Linked DNA regions of Schizosaccharomyces pombe. Changing the gene in region 4 together with the main gene of any one other region gives a genetic interaction. Each region holds a gene or a part of one and is shown on either strand. Other genes may lie near its edges.

What was found.
Region 1: mutations in sec8 (region 4) and rho3 are lethal when combined (synthetic lethality), as found in Schizosaccharomyces pombe (2 studies listed by BioGRID).
Region 2: mutations in sec8 (region 4) and rho4 impair growth when combined (synthetic growth defect), as found in Schizosaccharomyces pombe (2 studies listed by BioGRID).
Region 3: mutations in sec8 (region 4) and for3 are lethal when combined (synthetic lethality), as found in Schizosaccharomyces pombe (3 studies listed by BioGRID, with this or other methods).

Annotation. Positions count from the first base shown.
Region 1 is NC_003424.3:1,038,192-1,044,376, forward strand, and holds rho3 (Rho family GTPase Rho3), read left to right. Parts: upstream 1-3,257; 5' UTR 3,258-3,343; coding exon 3,344-3,407; intron 3,408-3,481; coding exon 3,482-3,554; intron 3,555-3,788; exon of another isoform or gene 3,789-3,878; coding exon 3,879-4,359; 3' UTR 4,360-4,892; downstream 4,893-6,185. Other genes in the region: efm6 (methyltransferase), read right to left, coding at 475-1,458; karyogamy protein Tht2, read left to right, coding at 2,050-2,655; SPOM_SPAC23C4.09C (chaperonin-containing T-complex associated protein), read right to left, coding at 5,029-5,073, 5,191-5,321, 5,405-5,480, 5,529-5,598, 5,810-5,883. UniProt on the Schizosaccharomyces pombe protein: Involved in controlling cell shape and septation. Regulates cell separation by modulating the function of the exocyst complex. Involved in post-Golgi vesicle transport. Involved in driving sexual development in a palmitoylation-dependent manner.
Region 2 is NC_003424.3:3,083,725-3,090,198, forward strand, and holds rho4 (Rho family GTPase Rho4), read left to right. Parts: upstream 1-3,288; 5' UTR 3,289-3,313; coding exon 3,314-3,347; intron 3,348-3,402; coding exon 3,403-3,444; intron 3,445-3,505; coding exon 3,506-3,552; intron 3,553-3,659; coding exon 3,660-3,863; intron 3,864-3,979; coding exon 3,980-4,114; intron 4,115-4,170; coding exon 4,171-4,320; 3' UTR 4,321-4,895; downstream 4,896-6,474. Other genes in the region: SPOM_SPAC16A10.03C (Pep5/Vps11-like zinc finger domain-containing protein), read right to left, coding at 1-126, 178-357, 401-466, 506-520; DASH complex subunit Dad1, read right to left, coding at 5,329-5,601; Smc5-6 complex non-SMC SUMO ligase subunit Nse2, read right to left, coding at 5,859-6,323, 6,439-6,474. UniProt on the Schizosaccharomyces pombe protein: Required for cell separation. Involved in the regulation of the septum degradation during cytokinesis and in the organization of F-actin patches and cytoplasmic microtubules.
Region 3 is NC_003421.2:998,971-1,008,358, forward strand, and holds for3 (formin For3), read left to right. Parts: upstream 1-3,779; 5' UTR 3,780-4,159; coding exon 4,160-8,545; downstream 8,546-9,388. Other genes in the region: SUA5/yciO/yrdC family protein Sua5, read right to left, coding at 1-1,198; SNARE protein Ufe1, read right to left, coding at 2,050-2,654, 2,743-2,977, 3,175-3,294. UniProt on the Schizosaccharomyces pombe protein: Involved in controlling polarized cell growth. Required for interphase actin cable formation and microtubule organization.
Region 4 is NC_003421.2:488,831-499,379, reverse strand, and holds sec8 (exocyst complex subunit Exo4), read left to right. Parts: upstream 1-3,446; 5' UTR 3,447-3,453; coding exon 3,454-3,613; exon of another isoform or gene 3,614-3,657; coding exon 3,658-3,707; exon of another isoform or gene 3,708-3,767; coding exon 3,768-5,377; exon of another isoform or gene 5,378-5,394; intron 5,395-5,425; coding exon 5,426-5,600; intron 5,601-5,641; coding exon 5,642-5,780; intron 5,781-5,830; coding exon 5,831-6,272; exon of another isoform or gene 6,273-6,317; coding exon 6,318-6,548; exon of another isoform or gene 6,549-6,595; coding exon 6,596-7,010; 3' UTR 7,011-7,205; coding exon of another isoform or gene 7,206-9,158; 3' UTR 9,159-9,222; coding exon of another isoform or gene 9,223-9,312; 3' UTR 9,313-9,364; downstream 9,365-10,549. Other genes in the region: kcs1 (inositol polyphosphate kinase), read left to right, coding at 1-2,517; histone H2B-K119 ubiquitin ligase complex (HULC) subunit, ubiquitin-protein ligase E3 Brl2, read right to left, coding at 7,206-9,158, 9,223-9,312.

The DNA.
Region 1 (6,185 bases), on a different chromosome or scaffold from region 4:
CTATGTGTTTGGGTGAATGGATGGTGCGTGATGCTTGATGGGTATTACACTTGGTATGCGCTGCTATATGACGTAAGCCGAGCCAGTTTCAAGGCATACAGAGAACAGGGTAAATAAAGCAGAATAAATAAAGGAAACTGCTTTATATAATGTTGAGTTGTTTTTTTATCAAAGAATATGCTAAATCATTAAATTCGCGCCAGTCGTCATAACACCATTCAAAAAAGCTGGAAGCCGAAATTCAATTTTACAGAAAATGTACTTTGCAGAGTTTACATGGGTTCCCAAGTTCGCTGATAGTTTAGATGCAAAATTGGTTTTATGCGATGCTACAAATTTTATAGACCGTTGTGTATAAGAACCCGAAAAGACATCTCAATATAAACATGCTGCTACAAAAAAGTTACGAGATTCGCAAGTTGACAGATTCAGCAACGCATCCTAAGAGAAAAATGAAAATGATGCAAAGTAAATTTATTTTTTCTGTAAAATGTAAATAGTGATTGGACCACGTTCTTCGTAAACAAGATCCAACCATCCCAATATATTGCTCATAAAAGTTTTTTCATTGTCATGTCTTTTTTTGTACGCAATATATAACTTTGTGTTCTTATCCATCAATTCCTGAAGACTTGCCTCCAAATCAGAAAAGCTAGATTCATTGTACATGACATCTGACATAACAATATAATCCCAATGACGCCGAAATTTTCGAGGAATGTCATGTCCCCATACTAAAATATCAGAAGTTATGTTGTTGCTCATTGCAGACTTATTCTTTTCAACATTTTTTTCCATAAATTCAATCGCATCTTCTGTATCGGTCATTGACACAAGAGCACGTGGATATTTGCTAGCAATACTTATACCAACAATTCCACATCCGGAGCCTAGTTCTAAAACATTGATGTCTTTTCTATTGGAAAAGCTATAATGCCAATCATCAGAAAGAATCTTTTTTGAGAAAACTACGCCGGCATCCCACAAGTGCTTAGCAATACTGTTACCCATCTGTTCGAGAAACCAGAGACCATCGTTTGGTGACTTTTTTTCTGGGCCTTGGATATACCGCCATACCATATTAGGTAAAGTAGATTTCGGTGAAAAAGCTTCACTCCAAACTGGTAATACAGTATCGGCATTTATGTGTATAGAATCAACGATTGAATTCTGATTTTCTAAATGCAGCGTCAATTGAATTTGCTGGTGACTAGCAGGAAAATACAAAGTCGTTTCAGCCGCGTGACCATTCCCTATCCATGAAACACATTGCTTAGAAATTGTGATACGACTGTGAGATTGTTGTCTATCCAATGCTTCAACCCTTACGGTTGCATCTTGCGGATATGAAACTTCGCCCAGATCAGAAGTTATCGTAAAAACCACTCGTAAAGCGTATTTAAAGGATTCTTCGAGCTTTTCTTGGAGTCTTAAAATTCTAATATAATAGAAAGTCATTCAAGCGTCCAAATACTTTAAAAATCCTTGGAAAAATAAAGAAAAGGGGGTCTTACAGAAATTTTTTTAATGATCTATTAACGTTCAGTTTCCCTTTAAACCACATTCACCAATCAATGAAATAAACCACTAGCAATGAAATACAAGTTGGTTGAAAAATTTTTTTTTTCGCAATTTGAAAAACTAAAATTCTCTGAAATATCAGATTATCGCCGCAATATGAGAGAGGGTAAACTGATCGTAAAAGCAAAACAATTGAACTAAGTTGTTAATTCATGCAACCCGGTAGCAATCATCATGAAAATAATCTCTGAATTGTTGTAAGAAAAACGCATGGTAGCAAACTTAAGTCGCAAGCAGAGCAACGAGTCATAACTGATAATACGAATATTCACATAAGGAAATGAACTTTATAAACACTCAATTACAAATTTGAGGGCATAAGCAATTGCACTAACACTTTTTTACATGTTGGTTTATTATGTGTTTTGCTGACTTTCCTTTTGTTTGTTACTTTTTTGTTGTTACCAGCGCACCTAAACGAGAAAACGTGTATTGATCCCTTCACATTTTAACCTCACAATACAGAAAATGGAGAATCAGGTGTCCAGTTTTCTAATTGATTCTCCAATGGAATGGAAGACTTATATGAAAAGCTTGAGTGATGATAATCCCAGCTTTGGGGACGTAACAGTTAATTTGACGAAAATTAGCGTATCTTCAAAAAATGCAAAAAGCTACGCAGAAGAAATGTATAATTATGTAACTCAAGAGATGGTATTTATCAGTGAACGTAGTAGACTATTATTGCGCGCAAAAAGAAGGTTGTACAAAAATCAATCACTTATGAAAAAAACGTCTGTGTCAACCTCGAACACAGTAAAGATGGTATTTATGTCACTAGCAAAGCAAATTGAACAAATGCTCAAATTCTGTATGATGGTTTACAGCAAATTGTGCGAGGCGTTTGAAACAACGTTAAAGGTAGCGAAGGAGTTTCAAATTTGCGATTCTTCTCAAGAATGGTTTTTCCAATTCCAATTGGGTTATCATAGAAAACAGATGGAATTACAGATGCTTTCTTTTGTAGCCGAATGGCTTGTTTTAACTCAACATTATACAGATGCTCTGAATGACTCGGCAAAAACACTTTACGACATAATGGAAAGTAGCCATAAAGCGGCACAAAAAGTTTAAAAGCATATTCAAATGTCAAACAAAATTTTCTTCTTTTAAAGGTGCTATTCAATTCATGATTCCAACAGTTGCTGTGCAAATTAAACTATTATCATGAAACAAACCACGGTAAAGTTGGTTGTACTATTGTGTGACTCCTTTTTCAAACTCATCAAAGTACGATTTTCAATTAAATTTTAAACTTTCAATTGAAAGGGTTGCCTCAAAATTGACAAGCCCTTGGTCAACTTTCACTAACTGGTGCTGTTGATTTTCTTCCTATTTAGCAATCACGTTATATATACCGTGTATTTCATTTTGAGACTGAGAGTAGACTTCCCCAATATATTTTAGTAAAACTATCCTTCGAAGGTTTTGTTCATCAATGAATTAATGCTTTACTCATCAAAATATATTATGAAACAATCCTACTTGCGAAGTTCATTCTGTATTACGTATTTCCGTATCTCTTTTAATAAACTGGTTCGCATCGCCTTAATTATTCTAAATTTGATTGTTACCTGAAATGTAGAAGCCAATCTACAGCGCACAAGGACATGTATGTCCTTCGCTAAGCAGTAAGCTGGGGTCTTGCGTAGGCTTTAGCTCATGGTACAAAATTCGTACCTAAACCAAACACCTCTAATCCTTTATTATACAGAAACCATTGAAAAACCCATAGAAAGCTTGATTGAAGCTCATTGAAAGTATGTCAAGCTGTTTCGGAAGTAAAAAGAAGCCTATTTATCGGAAAATCGTAATTCTTGGTGATGGTAAGGATCTTGGTGAAAATTTTGTTTTTTCTTTCGTGATTTTCGCAGCTAAGCATTCTAACCGTAAATTATAGGTGCTGCTGGTAAAACCAGTTTGTTAAATGTATTTACTAAGGGTTATTTCCCTCAGGTATACGAGCCTACTATGTAAGTATCATTAATAGTGCAAAGCTGTAAACGGCGGAGCGGAAATGAGGTTACCGTCTGCAATATCAAGTATAACTCAATATGAAGCATCTTTTTTTGCAAACCTTTTATCTAACGGGTTAATTTGTGGAAATTTGTTTCATTTCTGAGGAAAACGAGAATGCCCGAGTGTGCTCTCCATACAGTCACACTCGTACAATTTCTCATGACCAAACGTCAAATTGCTTTTACTATGCTTGACCTGTTAAGGGTTTTCACCACTTCTTTACATGATTATCTTCTTGTACTTAAAAACTTTTTCCGTTATCTAACACCTAAAAATAGATTTGAAAACTACATTCATGATATCTTTGTCGATGGAAACAGTATAGAACTGTCTCTATGGGATACAGCTGGTCAAGAAGAGTATGATCAACTGCGTTCGTTATCATATTCAGATACACATGTTATTATGATCTGCTTTGCCGTGGATTCACGAGACTCATTAGAAAATGTAATCACAAAATGGCTTCCGGAAGTCTCTAGTAATTGCCCTGGTGTTAAATTGGTTCTTGTTGCTCTAAAATGTGATTTACGTGGAGCTGATGAGGAGCAAGTTGATCACAGTAAAATTATTGATTACGAGGAAGGACTGGCAGCGGCAAAAAAAATCAACGCTGTACGATATTTAGAATGCAGCGCTAAATTAAATCGTGGCGTAAATGAAGCTTTCACGGAAGCTGCACGCGTTGCCCTTGCCGCGCAACCAAGAGGTACAAAGGATGGTGCTGATGAATCCCATGGTACCGGATGTATCATTGCTTGAAAGCACTTTCTTTTGAAAGCGCCTAAAAGTCTTATTTCTAATGTTCGAAGTTTATTATTGTATATGACGTTAGTGTGGGTGTTGCGGTGGCCTTTGAATAGCGTTAACCTTTTTTCAATGGTTTGTACTTTTGACTTTTATCCCCTTTGCTGTTCTCAAGGTTTTAAATTTGACACTTGGGGATTCTGTCCGTTTCCAATGAGTTTATCTCCTTATTTCAGGTGTATTGTCTATCTTTCTTACCTTCCTACTTGAAACAGCAGGTATTTGTACAATCGTGAAAAAGAGTGTTTGCAGTGAACCTTACTTTCCTTCTTTTTTGAAACTTGTACACTTTGAGTTGTTCAATTCTCCTTCTGTTCGTGTAATCGTTGAGTTGCTAATCTAATCAATTAATCTACCCCTTTTCTTTTACGATAAGCATACTGTTGAGCAATAAGGATTAGTCTTTCGGTTGTAAGACATGGGTCTGAGTCAAATCCTACCGTTTTAGAAAGCACCTTAAATATTTATGTAATATGAAGTGTTACCCCTAAATATCGTAATTGAAGTTAAAAATTGTAAAAATTTAGACTACCCAATATGTTGTATTCGTGCATCCGTGCAACCCTAATTCAATTTGATCCATTTGAAAGTAAAACAAAATTTATTATGTCTTTATCCTTTAAATTAAAGATCCCAGTCATCCTCATCGTCTTGAACACGTCGATTGATCTAATTAAACAGTTAAACTCTGGACCATGTAATATAAACAGATGTTTTTTTTTGATATTTCTCTCCTCAGATGAATTTGAAATAAAAAAGGAGAGAAGGAATTAGTAAGGCACTTACCACAATTTTTGTTTCATTACGTTTGGAGACCTCACCAGAAATTTTTTCTAACAATTCGATAAGTTCGGGCTCTGAGATTTTATGAGATATCTGGCCCGTTTTGGCCATACGTAACAGGAGCTCTTCAACAGCTACACAAATTAGACACATGTTTACATTATTCGTAAACAGATATTAAATTATTATCCGCCGCAGAAAATGAAATCACACTTACCTTCAGCACGATCTTTTCGTACCAACGCTATACGACGAAGTCTGTCTCTTGCTGGGTGTTCCAAAATTTGAGAAAGCTTATGAAATTGTTAGTCGGATATGGACCATACACATCATAAACATACTAGATTTTGTCGCATTTCATCTTGTACCTCCTGTTGTTGCTGATTGCTTGATGGACCTGAAGCAATATTACTAGATTTGTTAATTCTTGTAAAAAAAATGGAGTATATAAATAAATTAGTTTCTAAATTCACTATCGGATTTCCTTTGTGTAATTTTAAAATGATTCATTAAATCTCGTCATTTACCAACATAATCCTTCAAGTGAATTCTAATAAAAAATTATAACTTTCAGTCGTAGAGTTTTGAAGTTTATATGCAAGTTTCGAAACTAAGAACATACCTAGGGGCAGAACCATGTTCAGCTTGAAGTTGTGCTAAACGAGCTTGTCTTATAGCTTGCAATTCTTCATCCATTATGAATAAGCCTAATTATTAAGCAAGAACTGATGCACAAATGTTTTTTAATTGAGACTTGTGTAATGCTCAAATTTGTGGTGTTGCAAAGGATTAACGATAGATTTGCGGTACTGCTATGGAATAATAGCAATTAACAAGCGCTAGCATAATCAATTGTGTCGAGAGGACCATATTGGTGAGTAATACTTTTTTTAACTTTCTTTTTCTAGTAGACATGTACTTATTACCCTTATCTTGACAAAGCAGTCTGCTATCACGAAGAAACCTGGTCAAAATCCAGTGTGTGACAGCAACACCTA
Region 2 (6,474 bases), on a different chromosome or scaffold from region 4:
AGGAAAAGGTGGATTCGGAATTCCATATAGTCGATGCTCGTAAAGACATAAAGGTGAGTTTGAGTTTGTTTTTTTAGATGGATTCAAGGACCAAAATTGTAAATAAACAAAGTTTTGCTTATCAAGCTACAACCAACATAAATTATGATTAGCATTTAAACATATCATGTGACTTACAACAACACAGCATAAAGCCGATTGATCTGCAGTTATGTAGATTTGTTGGACAATGCCTTGTTCGCAAGCGTAAAAATCACGAATGAGTTGCAAACGAGAGTTCAAAATAACGATTCGTCCATCCAACGTGCCAATTGCAATTCTCTTTGTACTTTTTCCAATGCAACTGATTTTATTTCCCTAATTTCATGTTAGTGTACACTTCCTATACTTTTAAACGTACCACTGAATCATGCAGTATTTTGATACTTGGACATTCTTGCCATTGGAAAAGTGAAAACTTCTCCCACTGTTTCAATGTTAGTAAGGATCTATATGTTTGATCTACCTCGTTTATATTCATAAAACTATCAAGTTTTTGATCAAAATTATTTACGCTGTAGGTGAAATCCGAGGATTTCTTTAAACCACGTTCCAGTTTTTTAAAAGCTTTAAGAGGAATAATAAATGTTTAGGTGCAGTACTACTGTACTACATAAAATAACGAGTATTACTGAGGTAACACTTACTGTTCTATACAGTTATTACTATAATACTTAGTACAACAGATACAATTAAGAATAACTTGTAATGGTATTCACATTACTAATAAACTTCTAAATTCATCTGTTTGGGTATTCATTACATATTCATCAACTAAGCAAGTCTTACATGCGTCCAAATTTGTTTAAGACAAGAAAATATACCATCTATGCTTAATAAACAAACTTCATCTCTTCTAGTACGCAAATAAATACATTAAATTTATTTTACATTATAATAAGATTCATCACTTTCTCAAAATTTTGAAACCGGAAACGGAATTCAGCATGTTTTAATAAAAAGATGAGCAACCGCGTTCTTACTAAATACGCAATTCTGATAATTTGGGAATTGAATAGTTAGTAATTTTAAATTTAATCATTAAAACATACCAAAAAATGGGCCCGTTCCTTTTAACATTTTGCTCAGACCAAGTGAAAAAAACCTAAAACGCGCTCAAGAGGAACAACGGACGAGCTACACTCAAAATATTAATGAATGGGTAGTCAACTATTTTACTAGCGAACAAGCAAAAGCTTTGATCCATGGATCTCACGTAATGTAAAATAGTATCTTACCCTAAGCATTATTTTTTTGAGAAACAGGACGTTCATTATTGTTTGCCGCAAAGAATCCAAGTTCAAGGAAATTGAATACAGACCAGAGTTGCTATTCGTTTGAATGTACATTGTGACCACAAGTCGGTTTTTGTTTCCTTCCAAATAGTACCTTCAACACGAAGTTGTACATTTAGCACGGACAAAGAATCGACCAAAAAACCAAAATTAAATGTAGAAGGAAAACCTTCAAGTCATTTTTTTTATAATAGCTCTTTTAAGTTCCATACTTTTTATCTCCGTAACAAATGCCAAAAGAAGCTAGTATAGACGAGAGCATTCAGCCAACAAATTTGCACAAGCAAAAATTGTTACCAATACAATTTAATATTTGTATGGGGAATTGAAACTATCTATAAAACTTTCTTCATTGCTTGATTTTTAGTAACGTTCAGTAATTCAAACGAGACTCTTCTACCAAAAATTCGTTGTGATCTGACAAGCACTTAAATGATGGATACAGATTTTATACAAATGAAAGGTAGGATTAAACTGTAAATGAATTTTAAAGGCAGAAGACTCACGTACACTGCACCCAGCGATTCAATTGATGTCCAGGCCTCTTTTTTCCTACTGTATACAGAAGTATGAAGTCTGCAGCCATAATAAAAGCGGTAGGAATGATCTATGTTTTCCGCAACGCGTCAACGATTCCATGAAGAGCCTCTCTTATGAATATTCCTAATGATCAAAACTCTAAAAAAAGCTAAAAAGAATAATTTCGCAATGCTGAAAAGTTGAAGAGTACGGTTACACGAAGCAGTACAGGAATTCGAAATCCATCGAAAACAACTATCCAGACAAACTGAAAAGCTAAACAGACTACTCGTTCTTTCTAGTAGACAGTATACAGGTTTTGGAATAGCAAACTATACTTAAGGCCTATGAATCATTTCCTTCAAACTTTCAAATCAATCACCAAGCCCTCAAGAACCGTTTGATTAATTTTCCTTGTCAACCTTCTAAGCATGGGCGTTGCGTTGAGTATAAACAAAACAGCAATAAATCCGAGTATACATGAATTGTTTCCTTCTTCAAACAAAACGCTGTTACCTTTGCGCGTATGATGACTTCCCATACTTACAAAAATTTTCAAAACCTAACAGTAATCTATAAATTTTAAGGGCTAACATTACATTCAAAAGTTATTAGAATGTTGCTAATAAATAGCCAGAACATTATTTTTATTATTCATTCTCATTTCTTACTTATTTAAGTGAATTAAAGAAAATGCGTAAATTAGATTTAATCCGTTAAAGTACAAGCAAGTCCCGAGTGGCTCAATCGGTTTAGAGCGTCTGACTCTTATGATGGTCATCAGAAGGTTGCGAGTTCGAGTCTCGCCTTGGGAGTTAATTTTTTGGTTATGGTACTTCAAGGCCAAGTAGAATAATCAATTAATTATTATGTATTTTTACTTCAATAATTTAGTTCCCAAAACCCGTTACTTTATTAATTAGTATAAGCTGATGAATTCACTTATTGAGTCGCCAACTTAACGATGAGGTGTTAGACTAGCCTGCCATATATACTTTTGGCGGTAAATATTTCAATTTCGTTAGGTATTTTTATCTAACTAATGTACACGTTTCTAGCAACCTGAAATGTAGGCTTGTAGAACTAGTTGAAAACAGAACGTTTGGATTATATGAATGATAATGAATACACCGAGCATCTTTTATTAGGCAGACTCAACAATTGACAACTTTGCAATGTCCATTGAATCCTAAAAATAAAAATAGACAGGTATATATACCTATAATTTTTTTGGTGGCTAACAACCTAACTTTTTCAATTAAAACAATTAACCGGCATAGTCCTTCGTAAATTCCATGCACACTTGATAAATTTAAATATGTTTCATCGCGGATATTCCGTTTACTGTTTTATATATTTATTTACCTATTGTTTACGTGCTGCGTTGTCATGGCAATGTTTAGCTTGGAAATACCAGCAATCTCAGCTGGTAAGCAAACATTAACAACAACAAAGGCAATATGTCTGCTTTCAAAAAGAGTGGATCCAAGTCAGGTAATTCAATTGTTCCTTTTTCTCAAATATCTTAAAGTTTTTGCTAATTTTTCAGAGACTTCAAAGAAACTTGTGGTCGTAGGAGATGGCGGTTGTGGTATGCTTGATAAATATAGGTGAATGACAGCTGGTCTAATGTACTAATGCTTGATGTATAGGAAAGACATGTCTTTTAATTGTATTCTCAAGCGGAACTTTTCCCGAGGTATGCCAATAGATCGAACAATAACTGTTTAAGTGCAGTGTTCATATGATTCATGTACTCAGTTCACTTGAATTATCTAAGTATACTGATTTCTAACATCATGCTAGAGATATGTGCCTACAGTGTTTGAAAATTATATCACCGATATAACATATGGACCGAACAGCAAAGTTATTGAACTTGCTTTGTGGGATACTGCTGGTCAGGAGGAATATGATCGTTTACGTCCTCTAAGTTACCCGAATAGCAACGTTATTTTGTTGTGTTTCTCAATTGATTGTCCGGCTTCTCTGAATAACGTTACGGAGAAGGTATGTGCTCTATAATTTATATTGCTAAACGTAGCTTTGGGTTTCTTCAATGTCATTTGCGTCTAGCCATTAGTATTTCATCTTTCTCATATTATTTTCTAACATTTTTCTTTCAGTGGTATCCTGAAGTTCAACACTTTTGCCCTAGAACTCCCATCGTTCTCGTCGGGCTAAAAGCGGATTTACGCAAAGATAGGAATGCTACTGAAGTACTAAGAACCCAGGGTTTAACACCAGTAACCTACCAACAAGTATGTCAATGATAAGCTAACTTTTTTCTTTCGTTTATTTTTTTTAACATATTTAGGCTCAATCCGTTGCTTTATCAATGAACGCTCCATATGTCGAATGCTCTGCCAAAGAAAACACTGGTGTAAATGAAGTTTTTCAACTTGCTGTTGGCCTCACTATAAAAAAATCATTTTCGTTTTCTAAAAAGTCTTGCGTGATTTTATAATATCTTGATCATGGCCTTTATTTACTTAATCTTACCATTTTTGATGTCTTCATTTTTGCTTCGCCTATTTGTATAGCATTTGATGAGATTGTTGGAACATAAGAAGCAAGAAAAACGCTTTATTTACGCATTCTAACATTGCTAATTGCATATAAACCAATACTCCAAACGTTTGCTGCAATAGAGACATTATGCTTGTATGCTTTCTTTTAATCTAAGCATATTGTGTAGCAGTTTCCTTTTCAGAATTTTGCTCCTATCTCAACTTTTTATCTTTTCAGGTATTTAACTAGCCAATATGGTTTAGATGGATTATCGACTATTGGAGCTATTTTGTGATTTATAATTTGTTTATTAAGACGTTATCTGTTTGATTCTGAATATATGTCAGCAAAAATCAATTGGTCTTAATGTTTTTTTTTACTTTTACTTCAAATATGCCTATATTTGTCCGAAACTTTGAAAATCGGTTTTTTAACCCTGACTGGTTCAGGGTATTCATGTCGTGAATAAAACGATAGTTATATAGAAGATATTGAAATGAATACTTATGATTCCTTTTACCTTTTTATTATGCTAAACTGCATTAAACCCCTTTTATAATTTAAATAATACCATTAAAATGGTAATTTCTAAAAGGATTCGTATAGTAGTAAAGAAAAAGTTTACTATGCAAATATTAACATCAACAGTTGTTCTGCCTCTCAGACGATGAACGGCTTATTTAAAAATTGGCAGCTTTTAGAAGAATATAGGAAGATTAAAAACTAATATATATATACAAACACATTATTAATGAAGTGACTTAAGGTTTGTGTATTGTAATATGTAAGTTAATTTAAAAGAATCCTGACCTTTGACCAATTTTTGAGGACGCTATTAAATTTATAGATTCATAAAAAACATATAATAACTAATAATTTAATTTAATATGCAAATTCTTTGAAACAAACTGCGTTAAGGCATATGTTTAGCGGCAATGAAAATACATTTAGAAAAGAACGACCATCAAGGTGCATCTAGCATTTCACGATCTTTCTTCTGTAACACTGAATTTTGAAACTCCTTCCAAAGAGACGCGACATTTTCAAATTCCTTTCCAACACCGTTAATGCTTTCAAGATTTTTATTTAGAGCTGACATAAGATTCACAACTTCATTCATACTTTTTGAAATTTGTAAGGTCAAAAGACGACGCCTTCTTTCAAAATCTATATCATCAAAATCTTTATTTTGCTCATTTTGTATGTTTTCAGTAATATCCATATTTTCTGAGGACATGGTATGTTAATGGCTAGTGTCAAAGTCAAGCATGAGCCAAAGTTTATCATAAGGTTACAATCAAGTAGATCTTATATTAGATTTAACTATCTTCATAATTAAATGCCAAAATTGAAGCTTCCGTACGAGCATAGAATATTAGTCAAAAGAGACATGTTATGCATATTTACAAGTTGGAATAAACAAATACATTAAATATAATAATAATAATAATAATAATAAATCCGGATCAGTACTACAATGTAAATAGAAAAGGACTAAGCTTCTTTTAAATTACTTATTTCCTGAGCGCGGCGTAATCTGCGTTCAAGAATCTCATCTTCCTTAAGTAAAGACCTTTGTAAACGAGCTTCACATCCTACAACAGGGCATACACAAGTTGGATTTAACAGAGACAAAATAGCATCTTTTTCATAAAAATGATTACAGGCTGTCGATAATATTGGGTGAACAATTGGTTGTAAAGTTAAAGGGCATCTGTTATCAAAGGTAGCTGAATATACCATCACTTCATCTGCTTCCTGTTCTTCAGTGTTCATGACATTAAAAAATGTTTTCATAGAAGGAAAGTCAGAACCGTCTGTATTTTGCTCATGCCATATGGTTTTTTTAAATTCAATGTATTCTCCTTGTGTGCCATATTTACCATAGTCGGATTTTTCTTCGTATTCTTGAATGAGTTCCTTAAAAATTTGTGTATAAATATCCAACAAACTTTTATTCTAATTTTGTTAGAACAATTGAATATGAAACAGTAAAAAAATACGTCTAAATTGATGTTTTTACTTCATCTACATATAATAGAAAAAGTAGGAAAGTCATTTCCGTGGTACGTACTTCAAAATCACTTATATTTTCACTGGTTTTGTTAGC
Region 3 (9,388 bases), 510 kb from region 4:
AAGCAGCTTTGCCCAAACGATTCATGATAGCTAGCCCTTCATTTTCCTCGGAGACACCTTCAACCAAAACAAAATCAACTCCCTGCAGATCCAAATCTCGCAATTGAGCGAATAAATTCTTTGTAATTTCATGTCCATCCCTTCCCATATGCAAAAATACAAACGGACAGTGAGAAGGGAATGACTCTTCGTTCCAACGTTTACTACATAAAACACCAATCTTCTGCTTTTCCTTAGTGATTCCCTGCTCAGATAAATACTTTTCAAAAACACCGTATGCATCAGATTCTGTGTAATTGACAAAAAGTAGCACTTTGGCAGTTGGAGAGTAGTGTCTGTATTTCATACCAGGAGTTTGAGGGATGAAATCTGTTTCCATATCACTTTTTTTAGCTACGAATACTTTTGTTCGCTCCCAGGCCCCTCCAGAGCTTTGAATTTCTTCTAAACTTATGCCTCCTGGCCGTAAAATTACGGGAGGATCACAAAGTCCATTTACAACTGTACTCTCCACACCAACACCGCATGCTCCCCCATCTAAAATTAAAGGAATTTTACCTTGTAAATCATTGTAAACGTGCTTAGCTAACGTAGGAGATGGCCTTGTTGAAGCATTAGCCGATGGTGCAGCTAACGGCGAATCTGAAATAGAAATAAGGGCAAGCGCAACAGGATGTTGAGGCATGCGAACAGCAAACGTTTTTTGTCCTGCTGTCACAATTGGTGAGACCGGGGGATTAGCCTCGTCAACAACTGGCAGCAAAATTGAGAGTGGACCAGGCCAAAACTTTTTAATCAACGGTAAATAAACTTTTGGAATAATCTCCTCTGAGTCATGTGCTTGATTTTTTACTTCTGACTTTGCTTTAGGATATGCACTCAACAGCAATCTACGTAGCTGATCCAGAGAAGCAACATGTACAATCAAAGGGTTATCAGCAGGGCGGTTCTTTGCTTTGTATATTGACAAGACTGCTTCAGTCCTTCGGGCATCAGCACCGAGACCGTAAACTGTTTCGGTAGGAAAAGCAACTGGATAATCGGTGTTTCTCAATATATTCGCGGCGTTCTCTAATGCAGAACGAGTTTCTGAGGGAGGTATGGACACCCTTGTGTGTTCAAAAGGATGTTCCGAATCATTACTAGGCTTTTCAAAAGAGATAAGGCGAGTATCAACTGTTTGAATTTTTGTTTCCATTGTCAAGGAAGAAAACCTAAGTTTCTGGCTTACTGAGGCCAATTTTGCTATAAAATTGTAATACTTCAGCTTGTTTTATGTTAATTGATTTAGAAAGAAGAAGCTAAATGCTGATAGAGAGAAGGGTGAAGTTGATTGCTATTATTAAGTTGAAGCGCATCATTGCTGGTTGTCGACTCTTGCAAAGTAAGAGAAATAATTGTTGAAGATATATTTAAAAACTCAAGATTATTTTACTCTAAATACGAAAATAAAATCTCGTTTGAGAAATTTTACTAGAGTAGTGATTGACGACGATCTTTACTTAAAATTTGAATTTAGCTACAGAGGTTGTAAAAAAGAAATGTAAGCGCGACAATGATTTCACGAATGAAAAGAACCCACTTACTGTTTTTATTTGTGGGTTTTTTTTTATCGTTTCTGTTATTTGGCAGGGTAAGAATATATTCTTCCAATACATCCCTTTTGACTAAGCATTTAGTTAATTTGCTAATGTCCAATGCATCAATCTAAATTATATAGCTGAATGTTTAACAAACAAATTTGACTTTGAATTAATCGAGACTGATTGTGAACTTCTATAAACATTCGATCATACTAGATTTTTCAAGCTACAATTTTACCATAATCTATTTCATAGTAAATGGCCAGAAAATTTTTGGAAAACTAACGTACCCAAGATGAATTATAAGGAATTTTTATTTGGGCGTGCAAGGAATGGTCGAAAGAATAAGCATAAACATTATATTTACATGAGATTATAGACATGAACTTCACATGATCAAAGAAGAACGAGTTTCATTCCTTTGTCATTATTGTTACAATATAAAGTTTCAGAAGAATGAAGAGAATTAAACAATACGATCCAAGGATAGCAATAAAAGTCCCATAACGGTAAAGATGCAAAAAAGCAGACGAGCGGTCCGACTACTTCTAGATTTGGCCTTGATTAGTTGTTGATTACCCCCAGACAGCGAATCCATGACATTAAGGGCATCATCATAAAGTTTTTCAGCCGCACTTGATTGAATAGATAGTTGAGCGGATATTTCCGACTGAAGTCTAGTAATATCAGCCAAAGATTTCCCTGTATCACGTAAACGTTCCATAGTATGTTCAAATTCTTGGAGTAAAACATCGTTCTCTTGCTCAAGTTCTTGAAGTTGCTGTTGAGTAAAAAATGTTTGTAATTCAGATTCAGGGATCTCAACAGCTGAATTTTCATCAGTAGGATTTTTTGTTAAAAAGTCTGAAGCAATGTTTCGCTTTTCCTGACCTCGTTTTAATCTCAGATCTTGTAAATGATATAGAACAGAAGAAACATCGGAAAGTTCAGACTGCAGATACCACAGAACAGATGAATGGTGGGCGACTAAAGTTTCCTTTTTCGATAATTTACTAGGGTCTCTTAAACCTTGCAGCCAACCACTTTTTTTAGGGATTTGACTTTGTTGTTCTACTCATGCAATTAGCAAGCATGTCCCTGTGTTTTGTTTATAATTTAAGTAAACATAATTTTACCAGTATTAAAATTTTAAGCTTACCTTTCACAATCTCCTGCAACTTAGCTATTTGATGAATACAGCTACTGATTGCCGAAGAGACTTCATGTTCTATTTCATCCCTTTGAACCTCATCTAGCTCAAGCTTTGAAAGCTCCTCAAGTGAACACTCCATTAAAGGTTTTGAGAGTCTTTGGACATTTGAAAATGTTCTGTCCTTTAAATAAGCTCCACGAATCTTTTTCAAAAATACTAGAAGATTAACAATCGTTTCATGCTGCTAACGTTAGCAATTTGAACTCTCTGATTAGATATAGAAAGCAATAACAAAAGTTAATACTGTCAAAAATTTAAACCAATCCCACTCAATAATTAATCGTATATTATGGTAGCGCATCTCCACAGTGATCAATTGAGTTGAGGTTAAATTTCCGATTGGTTCAATAATTACAGAAAACTCGTCCTCAAACTTACAATTCTATATCCTTCAGCCAAAAAAGGATCCGTATAACTTATTCTTTTCAAAGGAATGTTTGCTGCATCAATGTCGCCATTTTTTGTTAATCCAAAAAACTCATTCGTACGACTCGTCATTCAGAATTTGAGATGCTAAGAAAGGAGAAATATAAATCCCGGGTTAAATGAATTTCAAATTAACAGAACAGATGTTTAGAAAATGGTAGCATTCCATATCCCCTTATGAATAGTGACACGGTAAACGGAATTGAGAGACTTAAAGGTGCTCGTAACAAATGTTCAAAAAAGCAAAAAAAAATACTCCATTGTACGAGTTTTGTTTATTTACTTCAAGTCGATGTCTACAATAAATGAAATTAAGCTAAAGTTTCGCAATTTTTGAAGTATTTAGAAATGAGCTATTTTCAAGTAAACAAACAAACGTAACCAGTTATACACCTCACAAGAATGGAGCGCAGTCAAATTGTTTACAATTTTTGAGTTATTTTTAAAAATTTAGCTTGAAAAAAGTTGTTTGTGTCCTTTATCTCGAAGAAATAAGGTTTTTGTTTTGCTGGTGTTGAGGTTGCTATATAATAACATGGTTTGGGCGACATAAATTCATCCTTTACCAACGCTCTTCGAAACGTTAAATTTGCATATTTATCAAGCATTTTATTGCAATAAGGCTAATATTATTAACTTTAATTGATTTTAACCTTCAGTATTTGCTTATTGTTATACAATATACAGTGATTACCCCTTTTTCTAAAAAGCTGTACTTTCGCATCACATCTGATACCTGCGTTCCTTTCAACTTTTTAATATAATCATCCAAACGATTTTAAAATCTGGTTGACATTACCGCGGAGCTTTAAGCTCTGCATTACGATATATTTTCTCTTTCACCAAAGATTGCTTTCTTCCTTACCATTTATTCCTTAATCAGCTTCGTTAGTATCTTTTTTACAACCAAATTACCAGTTTGGTATGTTAATTCATAATGGCATCTAAAATGCCTGAAGGGTCTCCCCCTACTAGTCGTTCTATTCAATCTCGAAATTCCAGTTACTCTACCTCTTCCAACGAACGTATTGGAACACCCTCTACGATTTCCCTATCTGAAAATTCAGATCTTTCTAAATTACAAAGTACTAATGATTTTGAGTCGCGAGAAGATCTCTCTCTTACTTCCGATGACAATAATGACCCCGAATATGTTATGTGCTACAACACTGTTTATCACCAAAAGACAAAAATAAATGATAAACTTTTATCCGAAACTGAGCAGTTACGTAAAATTTATCCTTTAGAATCCCGTGTATTTCCAAAACCTACCATTGTTAAAGAGATTACCAACGAGCGAACCAAGCGCTACACTTTTTATGACGATGATGCTCCTCTTACTAACCAACATACTGTTTTAGATGAAGCAACTTATAATCGAATTTTAAAAAGGATAGACTTTTTCATTGAAAAAGTCGTTGAAGTCCCACCTACTTACCATTTTTTATCGCTATTAAACGTTCAATTACGTATTCAACCAATTTGGTGGATGGATGAATTTGCTGAAAGAAATGGTATTGAAAGTTTACTGTCTGCTTTAAGAAACCTGGGTCACTATCCTGAACGTGCATCTAAAACACCTCTTGAATCCCAAATAATACAGTCATTATTTCACTGTTTGAACAGCGAAAACTGCCGTCGTCGTTATCAGTCTTCAGCTAAATGCTCTGTTCCAGGATTTAATGCTCTAGGTACTATTGCTGAGACTGTGCTTTCAAAAAGTTTAAATTCAGCTCGCATGGCTACTTTTCTCCTTAAATTCCTTTGTAATAAAAAGGGGTTGAGTTACTTCAAAGCTGTAATCAGGGCTTTCGAATGGCTCGTCGAGCAAAAGTTATCAAAAACTCGGTTTAGCGCATGGATGCATTCCTTTAATGATGTGATTACTGGTGTCCGAGTTTGTGCTGATTCATCTCCTCAAGCGATTGTTCACATGGACGAATTTGAAGATACGGACTGCTTGATTGATTACCTTGTTGCAACTTTAGCTCTCATTCGAGATTTATGTGCTGCTCCACCGGATTTGCAACTTAGGTGTGCTCTAAGGCATGAATTGTTATCTGCTGGTCTTCAAAAGGCCATCGACTCTTTGTTAAAATGGAGAAACAGACACGTCCGTGATGCTCTGCAATTACTAATCAAAGAGCATAATGCAGATGCTCGGCGTTTCCGAAGTGGTAGTGATGTGAATAATGTAGATAGGAAATGCGTAAAGAAACAGATGAACTATAGAGAAGAATCACATACACCTCATGGAAATACTACTCGAAAGACCTCTACTCCTGTATCTAATAATCGACCCACAACTCCGGAACAACAGGCTGTTTGGGATGTTTTTCAAAGAATTTATACTCGCTTTACGGGAAGTGAGGGGTCTAAAGAAAGTTTCATTAAACTACTCGAGTATTTTGTGACTGAACCCGACAACGGAAAAATTCAAAAAAGTATGCAGTTATTGACTCACACGCTTGAGGCACTGGAAGGTTTCAAAACTGCCAAAGCAGATACTAATGTCGGTCTAACGATCCTATCTCAAAGACTTTTAGACAAACTTGGTACCGCAGAGGAGATTGCAGAGTACAAGACAAAGTATAATGGAGCCATGCTTGAAAACAAGCATCTGAAAGAACAAGTTGAATCTATGCTTTCCCAATTGAACGTTGGGCCCCGCGACCCTATGCAGTTTCTGAAGAAACAATTGGATGAATTGAAAGCTGAATTAAATCTTAGAGACAATCTCCTCGCATCCATGCAGCGCGAATTTGAAACGCGTTATAGAGCTCAAATTCAAGCATACAATAAGTTGCAATCCCAAATGGAACACGTGCAGAATTCAAATGAGCAGCACTTACAACCGGGCTTACTTAATAAGGTTTCAAAAAGTTTTGACAGTGTTCATAGAAGAAACCTTTCTCAAGATTCTCTAGATGCGATGACCGAACAGTTTTCTTATCATGTTGAGCCAAATATTTTAAGTGGAAGTGGAATTCCTGTTCGTGTACATACACCATCCAAAACTGAAGATTTGGACGAATCTTTCTCCGGAAGTGAAATATCTTCCTCGCCTTCGCCATTGCTACCAGATGTTTCCGACACCGTAGAAGAGCAGCAAAAGTTATTACTTAAATCTCCTCCCCCACCACCTCCTGCTGTAATAGTTCCAACACCAGCTCCAGCTCCTATTCCAGTTCCTCCTCCAGCTCCTATTATGGGTGGACCTCCACCACCTCCTCCTCCACCTGGTGTAGCAGGAGCCGGACCTCCACCTCCACCACCTCCACCCCCTGCTGTTTCTGCTGGTGGAAGCCGATATTATGCTCCAGCACCGCAGGCGGAGCCAGAGCCTAAGATTGACGAAACCAGCTTAACAGAAGAACAAAAGATTCAACTTGAAGAGGCCAGAAAACAGCGTAAAGCTGCTGATGATGCAGCGAGAGCAGCCATAGAAAAGTATACAAGTATCCCTAGTCTTCGTGATCTTCACAAGCCAACTCGTCCTTTGAAGCGCGTCCATTGGCAACGGGTTGATCCACTGCCTGGACCAAATGTTTTCACAAAGTTCTGCTTAAATTTTGACATTACCGCTAAAGTTTTTATAGATAATGGGCTTCTCGATTTTTTGGATGAGAAATTTGATAACACTCCTAGGGAAGATTTTGTTGCAGTGGAAATTTCTGACCAACGATCTTCTCTTTTACCTGATACAGTTGAACAAAATATGGCTATTATTTTGCGGTCTGTATCTAATATGCCAGTGGAGGACTTAGTTCAAAAGTTTTTAGTCGAACCCGACTTTTTACCGGCCTCAATTTTATACTTTGACCGCGCTAGCCTTGCATCTACCAATGCCTATACCGATCCATTCATTCCTTATAGTACGGATTACACAAAGAAAAATCCAAAAGAACCAACGGCGGATGTGAACAGTTTATCTTATTTTGAGAAATTTTTTGTATTGTTCGTCGTTAACCTTCGGCACTATTTCCAAGAAAGGATGAAAGCTCTAAAATTTCGCTCGACGTTGTTTGGTGATTTGGAAATACTTGAAGTTCGTATGAAAGAAGTCATTGACACTTCGGACAGTATTATGGAGGATAAAAATTTTGCTGAATTCTTTCAAGTCTTACTGATTATTGGCAACTATTTTAATGAACCTTATGATCGAGCATCTGCATTTTCCTTGTATATGATATATCGCCTTGAAACTTTACGAGATAGTTCCTCAGCTCTAACTTTGATGCACTACTTTGATGAGATTATACGAACTCGTTTCCCTGAATTATTGCAGGCGGAATCCACGTTTAAAAAAATTCAGAGTGTTTCCGGATACAATATAGATGCTATGGTTGCGGGTGTAGATGGTGCTTATGATGAATTCTGCGACTTTCAAACGTCTCTCAAAGACGGTGCTCTATCGAAATGCGACCAGCATCATCCAGATGATAAGGCGTACGATATTCTTTCCGAATGGTTGCCTGAGGCTAAAGAAAGGATTAGGAATATTAAAAAGCTTAAAACTGATATGCTCACTAAACTTGAAAACACTGTGAAGTATCTTTGTGAATATGACTCCATTGATAAGGTTAGAAACTCTTTCTTCAAAAACCTGAATTCTTTTTATGAAATGTATTCCATCGCCAAAGCAGAGAATGAGGAACGTTTTGAGAAGGAGAAAAGACGAATCATGTCGGAGGATCGTGACAAACTGATTCGTGGTCGCCAAAAGACATCCATTGTAGCAAAATACAGAAATAAAAGAGAGTTACCAGAAGACTCTGATGATAAACAAGATACGGCCTCCAAGGATAAAAATTCCTTAGAAACAATTGATGAAAAAATGGAAGATGCCAGTAAAATAGAAGGTGATGCTAAGACCGGAGATGATAACGAAATGGAAGATCTTGATAAAATGGAAGACCTTGAAAAACCAGATTATGCTGAAGAAAAAGATCCATATATAACTGTAATGTCAGAATTACGATCTCGTATACAAAATGTCCCTAAAAGGACTGTTACTGTTTATTCCGATGAAGGCGTTGCTACACTTGAGCCCGGAGCTCAAGGGGATGATGTTGTAGATAAGGCCAAAATGATTCTTGAAAAAATGGAAGGACATTCCCAACTATTAACTTCTTCGGCAAATCCTGATGAGGAGGTTTTACGTGCCAAACTGAAAGCTGCTGAGCGTTTGCAAAAACCTGCAATTCCTAGAACACGCCGTAAAGGCCACACTGAACCAAAGAGTGCTAAGTCACTACTTGCAGAACTAACTAACGGGTCTAATGCTTCAAATCTAGTTGAAAATGACCGCCAAAAACAATAGTTGCTCCATTGTTCTTTCTAGGATGGATTTTTAGAACAGTATATCTGTACATTACATACATTGACGATTTGTCTGAAAGAAGTTAAAAATTTGTGTGCCTGTATTTTTTGAAGCTGCTTCAAAATATATTGGTGACACAGTTATCTGTATTATTACGCATACCGCTTGTCGTTAAAAAGGCTAAATTTCCAAAAAACTGACAGCAAATACAATCACTTGTTTTTCCAAGTGCTTAGAAGTACTGAACTTACGTTGCAAAACGTTGTTCATTTTTGACTATCCTTTTTTGCTAAATGTCAGCATTTTTATTTGAAAAGAGACATGTTGGGATAACGATTCATTAAGGGGAGCTTTTTATTACTTAACTTCATTTTTATGAAGCTAACAGAGAACAAATTTGGATAAGCGTCGCACCAATTGTAAAAGGAATGCCCAATCGCTTTATTTAGATCGACTAAAATGTTGATGTTTGTTTGAAATCTCCACCAAAAATTTTATTCTATTGTCATCTTTATTTATTAATCTTTTTTAATCATTCGTTTAAACAGTCCTTGTTGTTTAATTATTTATTGCTCCTATTTTCAACTGTTGACCTAGCTTTTGAAATATAGGATGAAGCGTTAGTTTCCTGTATAAAACTTGAAATAAATGCAATTATGTTTTAAATTTTGTAAGTATCTAGTTTACGACATTGTAAATTAGAAAATCTTGTTTGTTTTCTATGTGCTGTCAATTCGTTTCCTTAATTTTTTCCCTTCTTATATAAACGACCGAGTCAAGAAGCAATTTGTATTTACAACATTAAACTGAAAGCCTGTAAACAACTTTTTTAATTCATACAAT
Region 4 (10,549 bases):
GTGCTGCAGTCTTCAGCCGTTTCTGAAGCTGATGATATGGCAAGTGCTCATTCTGCTCATCCGTCTCGAAAGGCAAGCAGGTCATTACGTCTCTTTGAGTCTTCTACCTCCAATAACTTAGAAACCGGTAACAGTACTAATACTGCTTTGCACAACGTGTCGAGTCCTCTTGAATCTGTTTCTGAAAGGCTCTCCAAATCTGGATCACCAAGTGTTGGTGCTCAGCATGATTTAGATGAAGTTATTTCCGAAAAAGATACATCACTAAGTCGAAGATCATCTCGTGGTCGGAGCTCAGCTCCTAAACGAAGAAAAGATAGTGGTAGTTCTAAAACCACAGCCACCTACATACCACATAATCCTTCTAAAAAGTCATCTCAACACCTCCCTTTACTACCTGATGCTTCGTTTGAGCTTGAAAGGTCGGTATCCCGTTCTTATCAAAGTCCTGCATCCACCCCGCGATCATCTGTATCATCTGTCTCATCATCTCCTCCTGAAGACCATCCTTTTTTCCATTGGAATGTTGATTATCCGGTTACTGTACGATTGGAACCCTTCAAACATCAAGTCGGTGGACATACGGCTTTCTTCCGGTTTTCTAAAAGAGCCGTTTGCAAACCACTTACAAGAAATGAAAATACGTTTTATGAAACTATTGAAGCTTGCCATCCAGAATTGCTTCCCTTTATCCCAAAGTATATTGGTGTTTTAAATGTGACTCATACTATTACTAAAACAGAAGAAAACGATTCTACTACGGAATATGTCAATACAGAATCATCGTCTAAAACACCTGCCCCCCATAAACACACATTTAACAGCTGTTATCAGAAAAAAGACTATGGATACATTCCAGAGGTTAGTGTTGAGCAAAACCGTCATATTTTTCCTGAATGGATGCTTCCCGACAAAAGATCTCATTCTTATGGAAGCCCCAAATCTTTACACCATAAATCATCTTCAGCCGGAGAACGGCCAGTATCTCCTACTTTCGTGGCTGATATACCGCCCAAAACTCCATGGGGAACCACATTAATTAACAGAAAACTGCGAGAGGAAGTTCTACGAGAAGTTTTTGCTCCCAAGCATGCAAGACGTCGACTTGGAACTCGTTTCCATTCAAGGAGTTCCCATCGACCTTCTGTTTTTCGTGATAATTCGGTTGCTTTTGGACAATTGGATAATGGAAACACATCTAGCCGAGCTCGTGATAAGGATGCAGATCCTAACAAAAGCTTATCCTGTAGCGTTGAAGATAAACATTACGACTTGCATTCCGCCGTTGCCGAAGAAAATGAAGAAGTCGACGAGGAACTCCTCAACGTACCGTCCAATAATCAAGGTAAGTCATATAGACGCTTTTCATCAGATGCTGTTTGGGAAGAACCAGAATCTAACGAGTTTCCTCGGGTTTCTGGTACAATGGAGGATTATGATTCAAGGGAGTCAACAGGACATACAATAAAGGAACTACGAAGTACACCGAACTCGCATGGAACTGTACCCGATGACTCTATTTTTGCTATGGACAATGAAGAAAACAGCGAGTTACCTCCACCTCTAGAACCAGCAGAAATTGGAGATCCATTCAGGAGCGTAAATGATCCTAGGCGAGTACTCTCTCTTCCACACATGGCATCCGCCGATGAAGATCACCGGATTCCAGCAAGCGATAATCAAAACAATAATAATAATGATGCTAATGCCCTCGCGGAAAATTCGGAATCTCAACATTCTACCCAGATTGAGAGATATATTGTGATTGAAGACTTAACGAGTGGAATGAAAAGACCTTGTGTGTTGGATGTCAAGATGGGTACTAGACAATACGGAATAATGGCTACGGAGAAAAAGAAAGCCTCACAAACTAAAAAGTGTGCGATGACTACATCTCGAGTTCTTGGTGTCCGAATATGTGGAATGCAAGTTTGGCATCCTTGGCTTCAATCATATACATTTGAAGATAAGTATGTAGGTCGTGATATTAAAGCAGGAGAGGAATTTCAACACGCATTGATGCGTTACTTAGGGAAAACGGATGACGATGAAGACAATAGCCATCTCTTGGTGCATCATATTCCCACGATAATTAGAAAGCTAGAGCAGTTAGAGCAAATTGTTAGGTTTCTTAAAGGATCCCGCTTGTATGCTAGTTCATTACTATTTTTATATGATGGGGAGCCGCCGCCAAGCGACAAATCCAGCAAAGAAAAAGTCAAGCCTCGTGAAATTGACATTCGGATTGTTGATTTTGCCAATTGTGTTTTTGCTGAGGATAAAGAGCTTTTAGCAAAAGCTACATGTCCTCCTCAACACAAAGACACGTATGATCGAGGATACGTACGAGGTTTACGGACTTTGAGGCTATACTTTCTAAAAATATGGAAGGAAGCTAAGGGAATGCAAATTGCGGAACGGGGCTATGAAGACAGTCTCTCTAATGCTTACGATGAACTTGGGGGATTGATGAGTTATTCAAATGATGATGACTCTTGCGGAGAGACGTCTACCTAATAATTCAAATGGTAGCTTTAAAATGTTGCTTGATGCATTTAGTTTCAAAGCACTCTAGAACTTACATTCATCGCTTTGTTGAATATTTCTTGGCAAAAGTGTTTATCGATAGTTTGCGCACTGAGTTGTTCATTGAGCTCGGAAGCTTGAGACCCGCTATTTATTTATATTACTTCAAATTGGCAATCCGTTATATAAAGAAGTCGTTAGTCTTTCATCTTTCTGTTTCGTTAAATTTCTTAATTCAGTGATTGTAACGAAGCTATGACAGTTGGAATCTTCTTGGATTATAAATTTTTTTTCCGCCCCCATTTGTTGTGTTGTTTGTGTTACAAGGATTACTGGTTTTAATACTTGTATCCTTCTAATGCCCTTAATCTCTCTTTTACTTTCTTATCTTTTAAGATTGTCATGTGTTGATTTTTGTAATGGAGAAAATGCATATTGAGATTGCGCATTTTTAACCGTTCTTTCTTTTTTAGTTTTTTTGTTACATCTGCACCCCTTTATTCTGACTTTTATTTTGGTCTTTGGCATTGCTCATATTATTATTCTCTTAATCATCTCATCATACCTTATTTTTTTATTATGGCATAGTTATTTATCAAAGTACTTTTCTGCGAAGTATCTTAATTTGCCTTTTCTTGGATGCTTGATTTTTCTGTTTATATTAGTATTATTTCGTGGTAGTAGTAGCTTAGTTACACCCTTATCATTCTTTTCTTATACAATAGTCCATCACCCCCATTAACTCTGAAACACATACAGAGTTCTTTTGCATGCTCCTTGTCAGTATAAAGTATTAAATCAAGGTGCGCTGTAATAAATAGCAGTGCGTTGGTCCACGTAATTCATATAGTGATTTCTTAGCTCTCCTTTCAAAGATAATACAGTCAATAGACATATCAAGCTAAAACTACTGACTATTTGACTTCCATGGATACCAGAGGCTATTCGGAAACGAAAAAAGGAAGGTATCCAGTGGGAAAGAAAAGCTTGGAATCTCCTAACGGCTACTCAAATTATGGAACTAGCATGGACAATGAATTGAGTTCAGAGTATGCATCGCGTGGAATGCACATAGGCGATTTAGAAAGTAAGGTGAAGCAGCAGGGAGTTTTGATTTAACCTTTATGCTAGATTTAGTAAATGAAATTGAGGATGAATGGAAAGACCTGGGAAGAGAAGACGTATGTTGCGTGAATAAGTGAAGATTGGAGGATGTTTGAATTTACTAACGAATGGTTAAGTATCAACCGATATCTACAGCGTTGGAACTATTAGATGACAGTAGCTTTGGAAGAGATTATAAGTCTTTTCTGAACGTTTACGATCGAATTAGTGCTGCATTACAAACGATTGCCCATACTCATAAAGATGACTTTACTCGAGGTATATCGGCTTATGGAGAAATAATGGAGGGAATTCAGAAGTGCAATTCGAGAATCATAGCATTAAAGCAATCCCTTGAGGCTTCGCAAGAATGCATTGGTAATACTAATAGCAAAGAGCTTCAACAAACATTGGCTCGTAGTTCTCAATACAAAAAAGTCATAAGTGTGCTCAAGGAACTTAATGAAGCCAACCAGCTGTTTGACAACTTTCATACGCTTGTTGATAGCAAGCAATATTATCATGCCAGCGATTTAATACGTCGTGTATGGGATGAATTAAGTCGTTCTGATTTTGACGGAATATTAGTAGTGGAGCAGTTTAAAAGTCGGATGACAGGACTCTTGTCACATTTAGAGGACATTCTATCTGAAGAGTTGGTTTCAATTACTTTCCTTAAAGATGCTGTCGCTTATCCCATAGTATCGTACTGCTCTCCAAATCCGCTGAGGGAAACTTCCAACCCATATTTTTTGAGAGATTTTTTAAAAAACAATGCAAATACATCAACTCTGGGCCAAAGTGAGCAATTGCGTTACCTAGAAGAAGCGCTTTCTTTAAAGTTGTCGGATTGCTTAAAAATGGATTATGGTAGAGACAGTTTACGTGATATACGTATTGTTTTGGAGTCATTGAATTTATTGGGAAAACTCCCCAATGCTATTTCATCTTTAAAGTCTCGTACTTCTGCGGAGATGTTTACTACGGTAGATTCTACTTCACGTGCAATCGTTAACAAATATTCACTCGGTAATAACGTTTCTACCGTTAATCCCTTTTCAAAATCACTTTATGATATAGGTTTGCACGCTGAGACTGATAGAGAGCATACTATGATTTCCGAGTTCTTGACGAACTTATTTACAAAATTAAGGTGTGTTTTAATGCATTATCGCGGTATCTCCGAATTCATGACCAAATTAGAGACTAAAACACCAAAGCATGCTTCATCTTCTCACAAATCTAGCATTATGTCTGTTAACTCGGACCCCACAAGCCCAAAGGTATCAAAATTTGATACTTCTGATAGCACGTTTCCATTTGATACGTTGCTGCAAGCATTCGAGAGCGAAATTAGGTTAATGTTAAAAGATTATCTTATTTCCAAAGAAGAGTATATTGAAAATAGTGGAAATTTCGTTGTTGGAACTGAGATGTCCATATACAACCTCCCTGGCGAAAATGAAGAAGATAAACTTTTCGACGTAACAAACGAAATTGCTGTGGAGAACAAAAGTAATGCGTTTTATGCCAGAATAAATGAGTTGGTTAACGAAAAGGCTCCAGAGCTTATTCTTAATAAATCAAATGCTTCAGTTTCCACTATTGAACTATTTTCTGGAAGTTCGAAAGAAATTGTACGTTTGGCTGGCCACGTTGTATTTGTTGGGCCTTCGGTTTTTCATGCTTCGTCTGTCCTACCTCAAACCGTATTCTTTTTGGAAGACAGTGTGTCTATTTTGAAAAAGTACGTCAATTAAGTTGAGTTTGGATTATTTTGCTAACAAAAATTTAGCCCAAATATACCTCCTCAGTTTGCTGTTAATTTTATGAAAGAATTTTTAAGGGGAAGTTACATTCCACAATTATACAAGTTTATGTCGAGTCACTTTGACACCATAATGAAAGACGTGGGTGCGTTCCAATTGCACAGAGATTGGAAGATATACTCTAAAATCCCAATTTTTAAGGTATAGTCTCATTAAGAAGCTACGATTAACGTTAATTTTAGTGCCATGTGGCTATTGTTCAATATTTTCACGATCTTCAAGATTATTTGCCTATTGTTGCATTAAATTTGGTAGAATTTTATGAATTATTACATACTTTGCTTGTTCGTTTTCGCAACCATTGTTCTGATTATCTCTCTGGTATGTTTCATTTCCATTTTTTCACTGTTTCCCCAGCTTACCCTTTATAGATTTGTGCAGAACGGCTGTTCTCAAAGAATACAAACATGTCAACGAGGATACTGAAGATGTCGATGATACTGTTCGAGTAAAGCTACTTCACGACGATGTAACGTACCCTCAATTTATTAAATTCCTCAAGCAAAAAAATCCATCACTTGAAGGGTTAAATGAGCTTTGTCGAATGGAGAATAAGCGTTTATTACAATATGAAGATCGTGCGATTACGTCCGAAGTTAAACTTCCGGTATCGGTTTTATCCAAAGATTCCGACCTAGTGAACTCGGTTTCTTATCTTCATAACTCCATGGAATGGTTTCTTCAGCGCTGTTTTTCAAGATTTATGAACGGTTCGCGAAGAATGAACGTTTTGCAACAAAACCAAGCTAATTTCGGTGGTGACTTTTTACCAATTGATAATTTGTTGGGTAATAATTCGGATTTAATGAAGGGGTATGTTACTGTATGTATTGAACTTTATACTGATTTTTATAAAAGTGCATATAAAGAAGTCTTTGATTCTTTACAGAGGCTCCAATTCGATGCTTTACTGCTAATCCGAATGGAAGTTCGGTTACAGTACATTCATAGTATTAATCAAAGTGTAAACCTTCCTGACTATGTTGTCGAGTACCGCGGAAGACCAGATGCTTCGATAATGGCTCTCAACTCTACTATTGTGACGACGAATTTGAAACTCGAAACCTGTTTGAATGAATGGGAACGAAGGTAAATAACAAATGAATTCCTTATATTGATTTGCTAACTTTTTATAGGTTTGTATTCCAAGGTCTGAGTGAACTGGTTGATTCATCGCTATACTCTATCTTTTACAAAATAGAATCAATGAATAGAGGCAGCTGTCTTCAGATGCTGAAAAATATGTCAGCAATGATTCAGATTCTTAAGACGGTTAAGGAAATTCATGGCGACGTTGAATTTCCTAAATCTTCTAGAGTCTTTGGAATATACCAAAATGGTGCCAAGAAAATTATCGAGCACTTCATTGCTGCCCCCAAAAAGGAACTTTTGCCTGACGTTAAACAGATGGTCCGAATTTATTACCAGCGATTAATGAAAGATGCAAAAAGAAACGGAAGGGACGATCTTTATCGGCAGTATCAGAAAAAGATTGGCTCGGTTTTAACTCAGTTCGACAACACTGTGGGTGGTGCGAGAAAAAATCCTTAACCGTATAATATAGAATTTTAATTATAATGACGAGTAATGATTTTATAATAATAAATTTATTAACTAAAAACATAGATGCATTGGATAGTTTAAAAACTACGTGACCTAGTTTCAAAGATTATATTAAGGAAAATGATTTGTTATATATACAGCGTTTTCCTGAAAGACATAATTTACACAAATAAAACATATTCTTCAAAGATGTATCGGAATAACATCAGAAGCACCAAATCCACGACCGCAAATCGGGCATCTGCGTTGCCGTGTTTCAATCCGTTTTTGTATGCATTGGTAACAAAAGCCATGACCACAGAGAGAAATAATTCGATCTTTCCAGCGCTCGAAGTTACAAACTGAACACTTACACATGGCCCTAAAAGTTTTTAACTCTTCAGCTGACGTTGATACCCCAGTATCCTTTAACTTTCGCTTCTCTTTTTCATGCTCTTCATCTTGCTTGGAAAGTATATCTATAGAAGATGATAAATCTGAGCATTGAAATTCAAGGTCTGTTAATGTAGCATTATTTTTATCCATAAATTGCTGTAAATAAGACACCTTTTCTTCCAGGTTTTGAATAGTTGATTTTTGAGATGACTTTTTGACTTGAAACGTTGTTGATTGTTTTATAGAGTTATTTCGAACCGATGATAGACGGGCTAGCTGATCTTCAAACTCTATTATTCTATGGACAGCAGTGTCTTGGCTATTTAACATTTTTGAGATAATTTCGTTGGTCTTCTGGTACTTCTGGCGCAGTAACTTTACTTCAGCATGAAGACTATCTGTAGACTTCATGGTCAGAAAATATTTTTGCTCCGCCTTTTCCTTTTCGACACTAAATTTGGTTATCAATTCTTGATAATGGGAGTGGCTACTTTTCACAGTTTGCTGTTTTACCAACCTAAATGCTTTTTCAGTAGAAGCCAACTCTTTAGAAAGGTAAGTTGACAGATCTTTTTGTAACTCCAAATCGTTAAGGTCTACGAGCCGGATTTTGTTTGCAGCTTCACGGGTAGCCACCGCTTTTTTCTTTTCCAATACCATTGTCTCTAAATTCGCAAGTTCATCTAACTTGTCTTTGTAGACCTTCTCTTTTTGCTTTTTAGCTTCCAACTTCTTTTCAAGGGATAAGCTTAATTCAGTCTTTGCGTTATTAATTCTTTTTTCATCGTTTTGCATAACAGATATTTGATGATCAAGATCGTTTATTAACGGCTGATAGGAAGATTCAAAAACACCGTTAAAATTCTTTGACTGTTGCGACAATACATTTATTTCGTGAGAACATTCGGACAATAAGTGCTCTAATACGCGTAACTGCTCAGATGTCATAGAAACAGCTTCTTTAAGTGCTAAAAAGGAAGAGTATTTTTTCAAGTTTGTAGTTTCGACGTTGTTTAATGCGTTTTCTCGTTCCATAATTAATTTATCCATTTCATTAACGTTCGAATCCAAAATTTTAAGGCTTTGTGAGCGAGACTCCATTAAACCATTTTGTTGGTCTTGAAGCCTGGATAATTGTTGCAGTTGAGTACGTTGTTCAACCGTGCTAACTTTCTTTTCTTCATCTTTCCCCTTAGAGGAGGTGGTTGCTTCCTCTTTCACTTTAGTAGACTGGGGTCTCACTGATTCATTAATGCATTGCAAAGTAAAACTAGACGAGCGATCTGGTAGTTTTATAATTGAATGAAGCTGAGACCGAGTGGTATCCAATTCATCTAAAATCTTGTCAATATCCAAATTAATGGTGTTTAATTTCTCAGTAAGGGCAGAGTCATCAATTGATAAAACTGAAAAAGGATCTCTGGAGACCGAATTTGTGCTTGAGTCAACAGTAGACAAGAGTTTTTGAATGATGCTCAAGGCTTTAGTTTTATTATTTTTCACAGCGTCATTGAAGTATGAAAGCTCCGGGAATTTCTCCAAAATCGAAAAAACACCTTCACTCTCGAAGTCCTTCAGCTCATTGCCTTGAAACACAACGCTAAACTGCTGAAGTATTTCAGGCCACCAAGAGACCAAAGTAGCTAAAACTTTTAATTTCTCTTCTGCTAAATTTTGAAGTCCCTCTATTTTACTTTCTAACTCATCAAATTGAATGCTCCTCACTCTTACATCCTTTAATAAGTCTTCTTTAGAGACTTCCTTTAACAGAGTTAGCGACATGTCTTAACATTCGAATGCCTAAAGGCTCAACACGTTAACATACCTGAATATCATCATCTTGTATTTCTACATCTTCAAGTTCTCTTTTCTGGCCTAAGATTGTGGGGGCATCTGGTTTACCATTCTGATACATTCTCGAAAGTCGTATACATCAACCTATCAATATAAATTTCCTTTTTTTCAGAACAATTTGTTTTTTAACGAAAAAAGAAAACAGCCAAAACCTAAAAGACAGACTGTATTTTTCTTATACTAAACGTAATAACGCGTAATGAATAAGCAAGTTATAGATACGCGTCTTTACAGATCTATTTCAAATTCTCCTTCTTAGTTGAAACTTGCCGTATTGAAAATATGCAATTCGAAGCGAATTAAGTTAATTGCCATTCAATACAATAAAATGGGTAAAAGTGAAGTGGTAGAGGGCAGACACGAGTTTACGATCTATTTACTCAGTCACTAAACTACTTTAGTGAAAAATTGTCGTATTTGAAGAAATTCGAGTTAACTATCCATCTGGTATCCACTTTAACGAAATGTAAAATTGCGGTGAGTTTTCCTTGTGATCTATTATATTGCAACACACAGGTTGTATAAGTAGCAACTGAGTATAGGTATTGTATTAACTGGGTTATAATGTTACCTATCACTAGTATAGCTCATAACTGAACTGAGGAACGAGGTTCAGTTGTAACGCTATTTATAAATGGCTGTTATCAACGGGTATTTATGTACATAGACGAATAGTTACCTGTGATTATCAACAAGCGGATCTTAACTAGTATTTCAACATATGACATATAGTGATACACTACGTTGCGTATCACTATATGTCACATGTTCTAATTATATATCGTACCATGTATGATACGATATGGAGATTAATCTTAATGATAATCTATTCAGATCTATATTATCTGAATACTATAAATAGAGCTACCACTGAACTGAGGAACGAGGTTCAGTTATGAGCTATACTAGTGATAGGTAACATTATAACCCAGTTAATACAATACCTATACTCAGTTGCTACTTATACAACCTGTGTATTGTAATATAATAGATCACAAGGAAAACTCACCGCAGTTCTACGTATCCTTAAATCAGATACCAAACTGCGTAGCTTACACGTAATTACGATAACAAACCATCGTTCTAAACCACAATATTCTATTATGCTGCTCATTATTTTGTAAACATTAAATTTTGTTTGAATTGAACCATTAAACAGAAGGGAAAAATGATTATTAAGCTTGATTAAATTAAGAATCAAGATGAAGGAGAAATGAATGTAACAACGACAATGAAATTGTGAATTTAACAAGGTGGAACAACGAGTTTTCCGATTTCATTAGTTGATTTAAAGTTGT